Daphnia pulex: one gene and its partners. The protein of the gene in region 3 binds, or shares a complex with, the protein of the main gene of each other region. Links are inferred from orthologs where the notes say so. Each region holds a gene or a part of one and is shown on either strand. Other genes may lie near its edges. The genes, in order: ribonuclease H2 subunit A-like, proliferating cell nuclear antigen-like and ribonuclease H2 subunit B-like.

The links.
Region 1: the proteins of ribonuclease H2 subunit B-like (region 3) and ribonuclease H2 subunit A-like are in contact, whole or in part, in a crystal structure (PDB 3PUF), measured with the Homo sapiens proteins. The link is inferred for Daphnia pulex from reciprocal best matches to the Homo sapiens genes RNASEH2B and RNASEH2A. Residues at the interface, in NP_078846.2 of Homo sapiens: His16, Phe18, Lys39, Asn42, Gly48, Ala49, Ile50, Val63, Lys64, Val65, Phe66, Lys67, His70, Phe74, Val79, His86, Phe87, Val183, Tyr211, Gly214, Leu215, Asp218, Tyr219; in NP_006388.2 of Homo sapiens: Val227, Phe228, Ile253, Trp254, Glu255, Ser284, His285, Tyr287, Phe288, Arg291, Gly292, Leu293, Glu294, Ser295, Ala296, Thr297, Ser298, Leu299.
Region 2: the proteins of ribonuclease H2 subunit B-like (region 3) and proliferating cell nuclear antigen-like are in contact, whole or in part, in a crystal structure (PDB 3P87), measured with the Homo sapiens proteins. The link is inferred for Daphnia pulex from reciprocal best matches to the Homo sapiens genes RNASEH2B and PCNA. Residues at the interface, in NP_078846.2 of Homo sapiens: Asp290, Ser292, Gly293, Met294, Lys295, Ser296, Ile297, Asp298, Phe300, Phe301; in NP_002583.1 of Homo sapiens: Met40, His44, Val45, Ser46, Leu47, Glu124, Leu126, Gly127, Ile128, Pro129, Phe207, Ala208, Asp232, Val233, Pro234, Tyr250, Leu251, Ala252, Pro253, Lys254, Ile255, Glu256.

Annotation. Positions count from the first base shown.
Region 1 is NC_060022.1:3,315,558-3,318,897, reverse strand, and holds ribonuclease H2 subunit A-like, read left to right. Parts: upstream 1-1,563; 5' UTR 1,564-1,702; coding exon 1,703-1,835; intron 1,836-1,904; coding exon 1,905-2,435; intron 2,436-2,508; coding exon 2,509-2,768; 3' UTR 2,769-2,803; downstream 2,804-3,340. Other genes in the region: isoaspartyl peptidase/L-asparaginase-like, read right to left, coding at 1-391, 449-668, 740-817, 891-1,083. UniProt on the Homo sapiens protein: Catalytic subunit of RNase HII, an endonuclease that specifically degrades the RNA of RNA:DNA hybrids. Participates in DNA replication, possibly by mediating the removal of lagging-strand Okazaki fragment RNA primers during DNA replication.
Region 2 is NC_060019.1:11,504,087-11,507,147, forward strand, and holds proliferating cell nuclear antigen-like, read right to left. Parts: upstream 1,668-3,061; 5' UTR 1,536-1,667; coding exon 1,315-1,535; intron 1,254-1,314; coding exon 1,088-1,253; intron 1,010-1,087; coding exon 611-1,009; 3' UTR 535-610; downstream 1-534. Other genes in the region: beta-1,4-N-acetylgalactosaminyltransferase bre-4-like, read right to left, coding at 2,002-2,314, 2,397-2,515, 2,571-2,962. UniProt on the Homo sapiens protein: Auxiliary protein of DNA polymerase delta and epsilon, is involved in the control of eukaryotic DNA replication by increasing the polymerase's processibility during elongation of the leading strand.
Region 3 is NC_060027.1:3,615,964-3,620,115, forward strand, and holds the start of ribonuclease H2 subunit B-like, read left to right. Parts: upstream 1-1,259; 5' UTR 1,260-1,420; coding exon 1,421-1,574; intron 1,575-1,632; coding exon 1,633-1,771; intron 1,772-1,835; coding exon 1,836-1,932; intron 1,933-2,008; coding exon 2,009-2,294; intron 2,295-2,356; coding exon 2,357-2,571; intron 2,572-2,640; coding exon 2,641-2,730; 3' UTR 2,731-3,257; intron 3,258-3,700; 3' UTR 3,701-3,857; intron 3,858-3,902; exon of another isoform or gene 3,903-4,115; 3' UTR 4,116-4,152. Other genes in the region: uncharacterized protein LOC124206984, read left to right, coding at 10-53, 122-278, 349-822. UniProt on the Homo sapiens protein: Non catalytic subunit of RNase H2, an endonuclease that specifically degrades the RNA of RNA:DNA hybrids. Participates in DNA replication, possibly by mediating the removal of lagging-strand Okazaki fragment RNA primers during DNA replication.

The DNA of each region.
Region 1 (3,340 bases), on a different chromosome or scaffold from region 3:
TCCATTTCTTACGTACGCCCAAGCCATACGCTTGGAATTGAAATGTATACCTACTTGACCTTTATTTGAAAGAGTTATCGCCCCAGCGGTTCCTCCAGTTCTATTTTGCATGTTTGTTAGAGCACGTTGTGTTGCCTCTTTCGGACCCAAACCAGATTGCATTAATCCAATTATATGATGACATAGACATACTTTGGCGATTGATTCCCCGTGACCTGTTGCAGATGAAGCCCCTCCAGCGTCATCACAATATCCTCCAGCTCCGACAAGTGGAGTATCTCCAACTCTTCCTGGAAGTTTGCCGGTCATTCCTCCAGTCGATGTTGCGCAAGCCATACGGCCATAGCGATCTATCGCTACCGCTCCAACAGTCCCATGTTTGCTTTCCTGGCTAAATTTATTTATGTACACTCTTCAAAACTGAATTTTAGAAAGGTAAAAGAATAACCCAAGTTCACTGGTAGCTTCTCCTCTGCCATGGATAAAATCATCCAGCGCCTCACGAGCAAAGTCTGTAATTAATTCGTCGTCAGATGCAAACGGTACTCCTTTTTCCCGAGCAAATGAATTAGCACCTGGGCCAGCTAGAAAAATGTGAGGTGTGCTATCCATCACGAGTCTAGCAACTGTGACCGGATTGGAAACATTACTTAAACCAGCAACAGCACCTTTTTTGTGTACAATATTTAGATATTCCATAAGTTCTTTGTTAATAGAGATGGTATAGCTAAATTCGTACCTGTTTTCAAGTTTTTTCCTTCCATGATTATGGCATCCATTTCAATCGTTCCTTTAATCGTTAGAACGGATCCTTTACCTTTTGAATAGTACAAGAAAACCTACGTTATTTTTAGTATACATTTAATGATACAGTATGGCAGTATTTGTACCCGCATTGAAGGCTTCGTCGTCCTCCATTACTTTAACGGCAGCTTCTACAGCATCCAACGCGGAGCATTCATCCTTTGACAAACTGACATATCCAGCTCTGGCAGCTTTTCGAACACCATGCAACTTTAGCGGAACTCGCCATTCAGGGATGTCTCCGGCTCCGCCATGCACAAGTATCACTGGATCAATCATGGCTTTAAACACGCAGTCAACAGAGACTCTTTTCGATGTATAATGTGCTGGAATCTGGAAAGAAATTACTAGTCCCAAGACGTACTGAATATGAAACAAAACTATTTTTACAGACCGTCTTGGAAACTGACAGTTTCGCCCCTTTCAACTGTCGCCTAAATAGCAAATCAAGAAGACGGTCATTGACCTATAAGTAAGTGTGTTATCAACCGTGTTCATTGACTCTGTGACTGAAGATACAAGATAGTCTAGAAGGCTAGAAGTAGAAGCCCTCTGTTTGGCCAGAGAGAAACCCTCTATTTGGCCAGCAAACAAACAACAAGTCAACTAAGTGATTGACTTCAATTACTTGATTACTTGACTTCTTGTTTTTGCCTTTGTATTGCTGGTGAAGACGGGATAACGGTAAGTAAACTAGTAATGGAGAAATTTATCGGATTTTTCCAACTTCCAAGATAAGAAAATGGTAGTAGTATAGTGAAAACTGACAACATTGCGTTTAAAACCGACGAAATTAATTTTGCCGCCAAAAAATTTTTTGCAGTTGTTGAGTTAACAACACTTCAGGCTCTGCCACTTTACAACAGATAAACATAATCGAAGTTTCACTGGTTTCACTATGGATGAAGGTTTACAAGCATTTTCTGATAATAACCACAGAAATATCACAATCGTGTCAAAAGTACCTGATGTTTGTCGAAAACAACCGTGTGCTTTAGGAATCGATGAAGCAGGCAGAGGGCCAGTTCTGGGTAACTTTTAACTTTACACAAACACCATTTTGTAGCAATGGTAATGGTTAAGTATTTAATTATTTCAAGGTCCCATGGTGTATGGAATAACATATTGCCCTGAATCTCGAGCAGAGGAGTTGAAAGCTATTGGATGTGCTGATTCAAAAACACTGACAGAGGAACAGCGTGAGAAACTATTTGGAAAATTAGATTCACTTCAAGACTTTGTAGGATGGGCTGTAGAAGTAATCTCACCCAATTCCATCTGCAATAACATGTTCAAAAGGCTCAAACACAGTCTGAATGAAGTGTCTCATGATTCGGCAATTGGCCTTATCAGGAAAGCACTTAGCCTAGAAGCAAACATCACTTCAGTCTTTGTCGACACTGTAGGTCCACCAGAGAAGTATCAAGCCAAGCTCTCAGCTCTTTTTCCAGGTATCAAAATAACTGTTTCCAAAAAGGCTGACTCTCTCTTTCCAGTTGTCAGTGCTGCTAGTATTTGTGCAAAAGTTGCTCGTGATAAGGCACTGTCAACTTGGAAATTCAAAGAGTCTCCATTCATCAGTTTAAAAGCAGAAAACCAAGAACTAAAATGGGGAAGTGGCTACCCAGGAGGTAATAAATTTGACACATCCTATAATAAATAATAATTATACAATTATGAAAACGATTGATCTCTGTGTTGCAGATCCTACTACAAAAAAGTTTTTGGCTCAGAATATTGATGTGGTTTTTGGTTTCCCTCAACTTGTAAGATTTTCTTGGTCCACATCTGAGCAGATCTTGAAAACCAAAGGTGTCACAGTAGAATGGGAAGACACAGAAGAACAAGAAAATCAAGCAGTTTCTGTAAAGAAATTCTTTTACAATTCAGGAAAATCGAATTCCCCGCGTAGACATCCTTATTTTATCGATCGTAAGTTGAAGCAAGCAACAAAGCTTATTTAAATGTGAAATTAAGAAATAAAAAGAATTTTCTATAATTTTTACGACTTTTTTAATTTCCGAAAACTAATTTTTTTTCGCAAATCACAAGTTCACAACGCAAGAATATTGAATTTTAAAAATTTGGCAGTGCGTTGATTTTGTTCAGCAGACGAAAAGGATTTTTGTCGGTTGTCGAAAATCCGCTCTGTTTGGAGTTGGACTGGAAAACATTTAAAGGTAAAACTCGTAAACAACTTAGAATTTTCTGTGATTTAAAAAAGAAAACAGGGTAAATAATTTTTTATCTCAACTTATAAAAAAATTGATGGTTTACTAGTGATCTTGAATTACCAGTGAACTTTTAATCAGAAAAACAACTGTTAGAAAACTTAGATGTATGGAATTGAAACATAGTTTGCTGCATTTCTGATAATAGTACATATTTCTTTAAATCATAGTTCATTCAAAAATGATTATATATAGTGTATGTCTTGAAATTTTTCTGGATATTAAGTAATCATGGTATAATCGTGGAATTACTTAGGTAGACTATTTAATTCTATTTAATTAGTTGCTCTATTTTGTAGGAAACA
Region 2 (3,061 bases), on a different chromosome or scaffold from region 3:
ACGATTCGAGCTGATTGTGTGCCATTTCTTAACACAACTGTAAAATGTCAATGTTTGCAGTCCTTTCTATATTCCTTCTTCGATGAATAATAACCCTCAATTTCCGATGCTTCGATCTAGGAGCTCGACATTGCTGCTGCCGAATGAAATAGTGTCATCACTCTATTATTTCACTTTTCAGCAAGTCTCACGTTCTTTTTTTTTTAAATATTGGTAAGAGCTCCTACCAATGATTATCATGTTTATCGCAAAAAGAACAAGTCCAGAAAATACAAAATGAAATGTTGTTTTGTTTTTAATTTTTAACCTTACCTCCTAAAATTCAGAATTTTAACGATAGATTAATTTAGTAACTCGCTACAATGGACTCGTCAAACTGTAAATCGAACTTCGCTTATTTACTGAACTTGGCAATAGGTAATGAGTGGGGCAGAATATCTTCTGGACACCGCTCGCAGACGCGGAGACCGTGTTGCTATAATGAATGGCTTCAATAAAAGCCTGAAACGAAAATTAGTTAAGACAACACGGAAATTAGGAATACAAAAAGTGTATGATTTTTAATGACATCATAGAACTTAGGTGCGCCAGTGGTGATCTTATACAAAAATTAGGCAGCTTCTTCGTCTTCAATTTTAGGGGCTAGGTAATAACGGACGTGGCCGATATCTTCGATTTTATACTCGACGACCAGGGGAACTTCAGGGGACATAGAAAGCTGAACGGATTTCGAAAGGGAGGTGGCTTTCGTGAAAGAGTTGAGGTATCGGCAAGCAAATGTCAAAGAGACGGGCTCCTGCATCTCAATGACGACAGCCTCTTCTTCTTTGTCAACCTTGGCAGACTGGGCAAGCTTGATGTTGCCAGTACCAATATCTCCTGTTGCTGAAAACCTTACACCCTCTTTGGTGCAGGAAATGACCATAGATTCTCCAAATTGACTCAAGTCTCTGCAAATTCTGGCAAATTCACTAGATGGCAGCCTAATGGTGCATGCATAGTCAGTTTCCTAAAAAAAAAAAAAAATATGGAATTATAAACCAGTTTGCTATTAGGGGAAATAAAGTAGAAATTAAAGCTCAATTACAGGGATGCCCAAATGTTCCTGATCAAGGTTCATCAGCTTCATCTCATAGTCTGAAACTTTATCTTGCTCTGGGGACTCGAAGACAAATGTAACAGTATCAGCATTGTCCTGGGCTTTGATCGTAATGATATCTTCATTGGAAGCACACTTAAGGATCTTGGACATGCTGTAAAATCAACAGACTGTTAAGAAATTTTCGTTAAATACAATTTTGTTATGAATCATACCTTCCCAAATTCATGCCCATTGACAAGTTACGATCACATCTGTACTTGTCAAATCCCTCAGCTCTCAGATTGAGAGAGACGAGGCTGACATGGGAATTGTCCATGGCTTGGAGTTGGATACCGGCATCAGAACAATCCCAGGCTGCTTCGTTCAACAAATCCTTCAATGCTTCCATAACTTTCTTCAACAAAGAACCCTGAAGAAGACGTGCCTCAAACATGATGATGATAAAATGATGTAAATAAGAATTGACAATGAAACACGTAGTAACAACGATGAAGCAGCAAATGACGTAGCAGGAATGTGTACGCTCAACTCAACGCTTCCAAGTACTCAACAATGACTGAGTGCAGACTGCCGCCGTGGTTTTCGCGGCAAAATCATCGCCATCTGACGCACGATTCTGATTGGACGATTTTGATCATGTGATATATAAATGCCTCAAGGTTGGAGGGAAAAATTCGAATCTTTTGTCTGTTTCCAGATCTAGTGACAGTGGCAATGATGCACACAATGGCTAATACTAAAGGATATGTGAGTGTCATAGAGATTTTGAAACTAGTTACTTTAACAGAAAAATGTTGAATTCCAGGAATACTTAACACAAATCTATTACAATACAAAGTCTCGAATCGAGGAGTAATACATGGGAAATTATTTTACAATTGATCAAATAATTAGCTCATTTACAGGTGGACACGCATCAACGTATACAATGATTTCAACTCATAAGACAACATAGTGTAATTCAGGCTATTTAAACCCTCGGCGGCATGAATAATTTTGTTCTTTTTCATGGTTACAAAGCGGTTAGGATTGGGAACCTCTTTTTCGTGTCTAAGCATTTTATATTTCGCAACATTTTTTTCAAATCGTACCACGCCAAGTTCAGCTTGAGACACACGAAAGTAAAGGTCATCATCCTCTCCTCCCCATCCATAAAACAAGTTGGAAAACCCGTTGATACTTTGGAAATGTTGAGTTGTCATTGCCACAGCACTACAGAAAAAAAAAAAAAAAAAAAAAAACAGGGAGCATGATGAAATGCAGAAAAATAGATAAAATTAAATTCAAACTTTACCCGCCAAAGATTCCACAATAAGGTAGCTCATAATCGAAGGTATCTACAGCTGAGGACAAATGGCGAGGCATCTTTGTGCAGGCATAGATATTATTCAGGCTCAAGGGAATGAGATCGACCTATGAAAACAAATATATCTCTCGGTGATCCAATAATTCATGAGAAACAAATTACGTCATGGAATATGTAGCAATCGGATGGAAAACGTTTCTGGCTCTCAACAAATCCAACGTTAAATAGCTTTCCACGATTGAATTGCATTTCCGGGCTTTGTTCGACGACGATAATCCGGTAGTCGATTTCCTGTAACTGTAAATACCGATGCAAATAATGAAGGAAGACACGTAGTTGTTCTGGACGTCGCCTGTAGGGAACGACGATATTGACGCGATATTTTGAGAAACAATCAACAGGCTTTGAAGCGCCACCGATAGCAATATTTTTCGATGAATTGGTGAAAGTTTTCAGCACAATATCACTAATGTTCAGGTTTAATTCGATTCCTTCCGAAGAAAGTTGGCGCTCGTACAGATGAAAGCAAAAATTGCCGTTAATTGGTTGGCTTCCTAACTCACGAGGTGAAAGATGGTTGGGCATGTCGTGAAATGAGATGAATGAAAGGGAACACAAAAAACGAATATTGAATTCGAAGAAAAAGCAAATCA
Region 3 (4,152 bases):
TATATAAAAATGGAATGGGATAGAAATGTAACAGCTCTACCAAAAGACGCAAGGTATAGATTATTACTTCAAACGACTAAACAACGCGCTATAAATTAATTCCTATAATTTCCCTGTTTAGATGGCAAGATTTGATACCACAGTTAAAGTGTCCTCAATGTCAAATGTACCAAGGCTCCAGCATATCAAACTTAGAACGACATGTTATATTGCACTGTAAATGCAGGCCAACTTTGATGAAAAATCACTACATTAAAAAACTTAAACATTTATGTGCAGTAAGTAAACAATAAATCTCTTTAAATAAAGTAACATACTGATGCATTGAAATGTGTATGTGTCAAACAGCGGGTTCATTCTGCAGATGAAGATGTATTGGACTATGTGAGATTGGCCTTAGAAGCAAAATTGCTGCAGTGGAGAAAAGAGGGAATGCCTGAAATACCTCTTCTCTTAAGGCAAAATGACATTCAGTCTGCACAGAAAAAAGTGTCCAAAAATCATTCAAAACTGTTAGATCTTTGGAGATTGTGGCACCAAGAAGTGGACAGTGTTAGTCTGGAATTCAACACCTCTGAGCTGCTTCAACTTATGACAGAAGCTGAAGGTTTGGAATGGGAACCTTGTGATGACATCCTTCCTCCTCTTAGACAGGGAGATGATCATCAGTTTAATCTCGAGCTCATGTCAGAAGTTACAGGCAAATTGAAGCAAATGCAGTCTTTATCACCTGAAGAAATGAACATTGAAGACGAGAATGTTGAGAGATTAGAAAAAGAAGCCAGGATAAATGACGGGTGGCCTACCCGTCTTTCCATTTAAGATTTAATACTTACTTAATACTTATACATGAATTCATTGTTCTTAACAAATGCAGTGGTCCATTTCTGTATCTGTTTATTAATCTTTTCAATTTGTTAATCAGTGGATACAATGAATTTTTCTTTCAGTAGCATGTCAATTTAATAACGCAACGAGCAACGTGTACAGTTAATTATCCTATAATGCAGACTGCAGAGTTCTAGTGAATTGTGACTTGTGACTTGTGAGCTGTAGATGGCCCGTGACAGCGGGCAGAGCTCATAAATTAATTCTAAATATCGTAACAGGATTTCTAAATCTGCAGCGGGCCATAGCGGCTTTTCCGTTTTTCTCGCCTTTTCGGCCGTATTCGCCCAGGCAGAGCTATAGGCCTAGCTCTGGCCCAGCCGCCCAGGCGCCCAGCCAGCCGGCCCAGCGCTTATTTAATTTTGTAGAGCAACATCACATAAAAGACGATGGAAACTTCGTCTGCTAACTTTCGTCTCGTTTTGGCCGCGAAATCAAACAAAAGCGAATCTTCAACATTTTACAGTGCCATTTCAATAAGCTATTACATTTAAAATATAAAACCTCAATATTGATTTCGTGTGTTTTAAAAATGCCAAGAATAACTAGAAAGAATTCAATTAAAGAAAGTATCGTAGATGTTAGTTCATCGCCAGAAAAGGATACTAAAAGCAATGCTAGAAATGCAACAATTTCTGCTGTCAAGACCACCCATCCTGAATCACAATGTGTGATGATTGTCCCAGGTAACCGAATGTTTTCTATTTAAATATTTATTTAGCTAACTTTTCTCTTGTTTAAAAGATGGCATGTTGAATGATAACCAAAGGGGTATAGTGGTTGGAAAACTACGTAATCCAAAAACAGGCACAGGAACTCTGTATGCATTTTCCCACAACAACACAAAACTTTACGAAATGAATCAATTTGATGAAAATAAAAGGTAATGAATTTTTAAAATACATTATTTTGCGTACTAAAATTTTCCTTATTTTGTTTTAATGAAGATCATGGTTCATTGATAACTCTGTTCAATCAGATGGTTCTTTTTTTCTAACAACCACTATAGATCCATTGTTCGTCATCATACCATATTTACAAAAAGTACAATAACAATTTTAATTTGGAAAAACTTTATACCATTCATACCATTTATAACATTGTTTAAAATTGACTTTAGGCCAAACATACAAGCCCTATAGATCAACTACTTGTTGATGAAGAGTATACGGATACAGGAAAGTTATCTTTGTGTTCCAAAAAAGAAGATCTTGAAAAAATTGCTGATTGTAAACAATCTGGAACTTTTCAAGCATGGAAATATAATGAAGGAAAAACCTTTGATTGGCTAGGGAAAAAAGTGTCACGACTTACTCAACATCTAAAAGACAAAAATTTCAATGTAACCCAATCATCAGCTGTATCATCAAACTATGTAAAAACTGATAGTGCAACGGTTCCAGAAAGTAATTGTCTTGAAAGGTTATATTTTTCACTTAGACCTTTAATGATTTCCTCAATTATCAAGGTTTATTTACGCGATACGCATTCGGGCTAATATCTGAATACCTATCCGACGAATTGAGCGCAGCGTTGGAAAAACATTTAGAACTGCCTGCTGTGCCCAAATTTGCTAATAACGATGACGTTAAAGAGCCACCCGCAAAACGACAAAAGTTCGGTTCTGATATCAAATCCGAGCCAACAGAGGATTACAGCAAAGACCAGAAACCATTTGTAAAAGTAAGTCAATCAAGATATACAGTACATGTATAATAATTGGATTAAATAAATTATATTCCTTCCTGATAGGAAAAAATTCAAGTTTCAGCGAAATCGAAAGCATTAGCCAGTGCGGCGAAAGGATCGAAGAGTATAGCCTCCTTTTTTGGGAAGAAATAGAGTATGTGTCCTCGTGTGTCGTGTCCTAATCTTTATCGAACACCTTATTTTTTTCTCGTTTCCTCTTTTTCTTAATACATACTCCCATCTTTCAAATTAGTATTTGCTTTTCTAAATTTGAAATGGTTTACATTGCCGTAATTTTCTATTATTAGCGGCCGGGTTGCAAGCTTTCCCCTTTCATGCTTCCAGCATGTTTTTTTTTTTTTAAATTTGAAACAAAGGTCTTCGGGTACCTTGCTAACGCAGGTAGCTGACAATTTGGTTTATTTTTTTCCGTCCGACTCTAGTTTTCCTCGTCCGTGGATGCTAAGTGCTGTCACTAGGTGGCTAAAAATTTCAGTGTGTTTAGGGATTCAACTATTCAGCCTGTGTTGGTAGAGGGATGTACTGGAGGGGGGGTCACCACAGTTTTGAGACGAGAAACCAAGTGTCGTTCTTTTACTTCCGAGACGCTGACCGAGAAGGTTACTCTAGTCATTATTGCTGGGTACTTTCATTCCTGAAATTGTTCTTCATAAAATAAGGTAATTCCTACTCTAATTCTTAATGTTTTCTACGGTCAATTTACGGGTAAATGGCCTTAAATTTATATTAGTCAATTCAATGTGGCCATGTGTGTTGTACACTTTGTTTAAAATGTCGTCTCTTGCTGAGTGTTGCACTCTTCGTCATGTCAAAGTACTTTAGAACAGTACAAGTAATAATGTAGAGTAACATAATGATTCTATGACTTTGTTTCCACATTAAAATTCTGTGAGGTTTCTGATAGAAAATTGAGCTGTTTTATTACCAATTATCAAACATTAGTTAACTAAAGTTACATGTCATTTGCGAATATTTTCTGTGATTTGTTATGTGAATTTTGTAAATTTGAGAGATGCCCTTGAATTGAGCTTGCGAAGACATGAACTTTCATTAATAATGATTTGAAAAGTGTCAATAACTAATCTAATTTTTTTTGTGACAGGTTGGTGGAGATTGTTCTCAATGTGGAATGCCAAATCAACAAGATGAGATAAGATCCCAAGCTTCTGATGATTCCTCTACCATGTTGTGAGATGAAAATGTGCACACTAGGCAAGCTGAAATGGTAACATCTACTTGTAATAAGACAACTTCCGTGGGTTAGCATCTTGTTAAATTATAGTCTATTTGTGTTCTTTGTTTAGAATTTACTCGAGTTGGGCCTAAAATTCATGATTTAGAAGCAATTTGACAACTACCAACTGTTTCAAATAAGCATTTGTGAAAAGTTTTGATCACCTTGGGAAGAGTTACAATTTGGTTTATTTGAGAATTTTTATTAAACAGCTCAAATTATCTATTTTATAATTTTGATATTTTATTGGTTTATTAATGTACTTTTGGCTTTTGCTTTGCAGGTTTCATTGGTTAGAGAAAGTTTGAGCTGTTCATGGT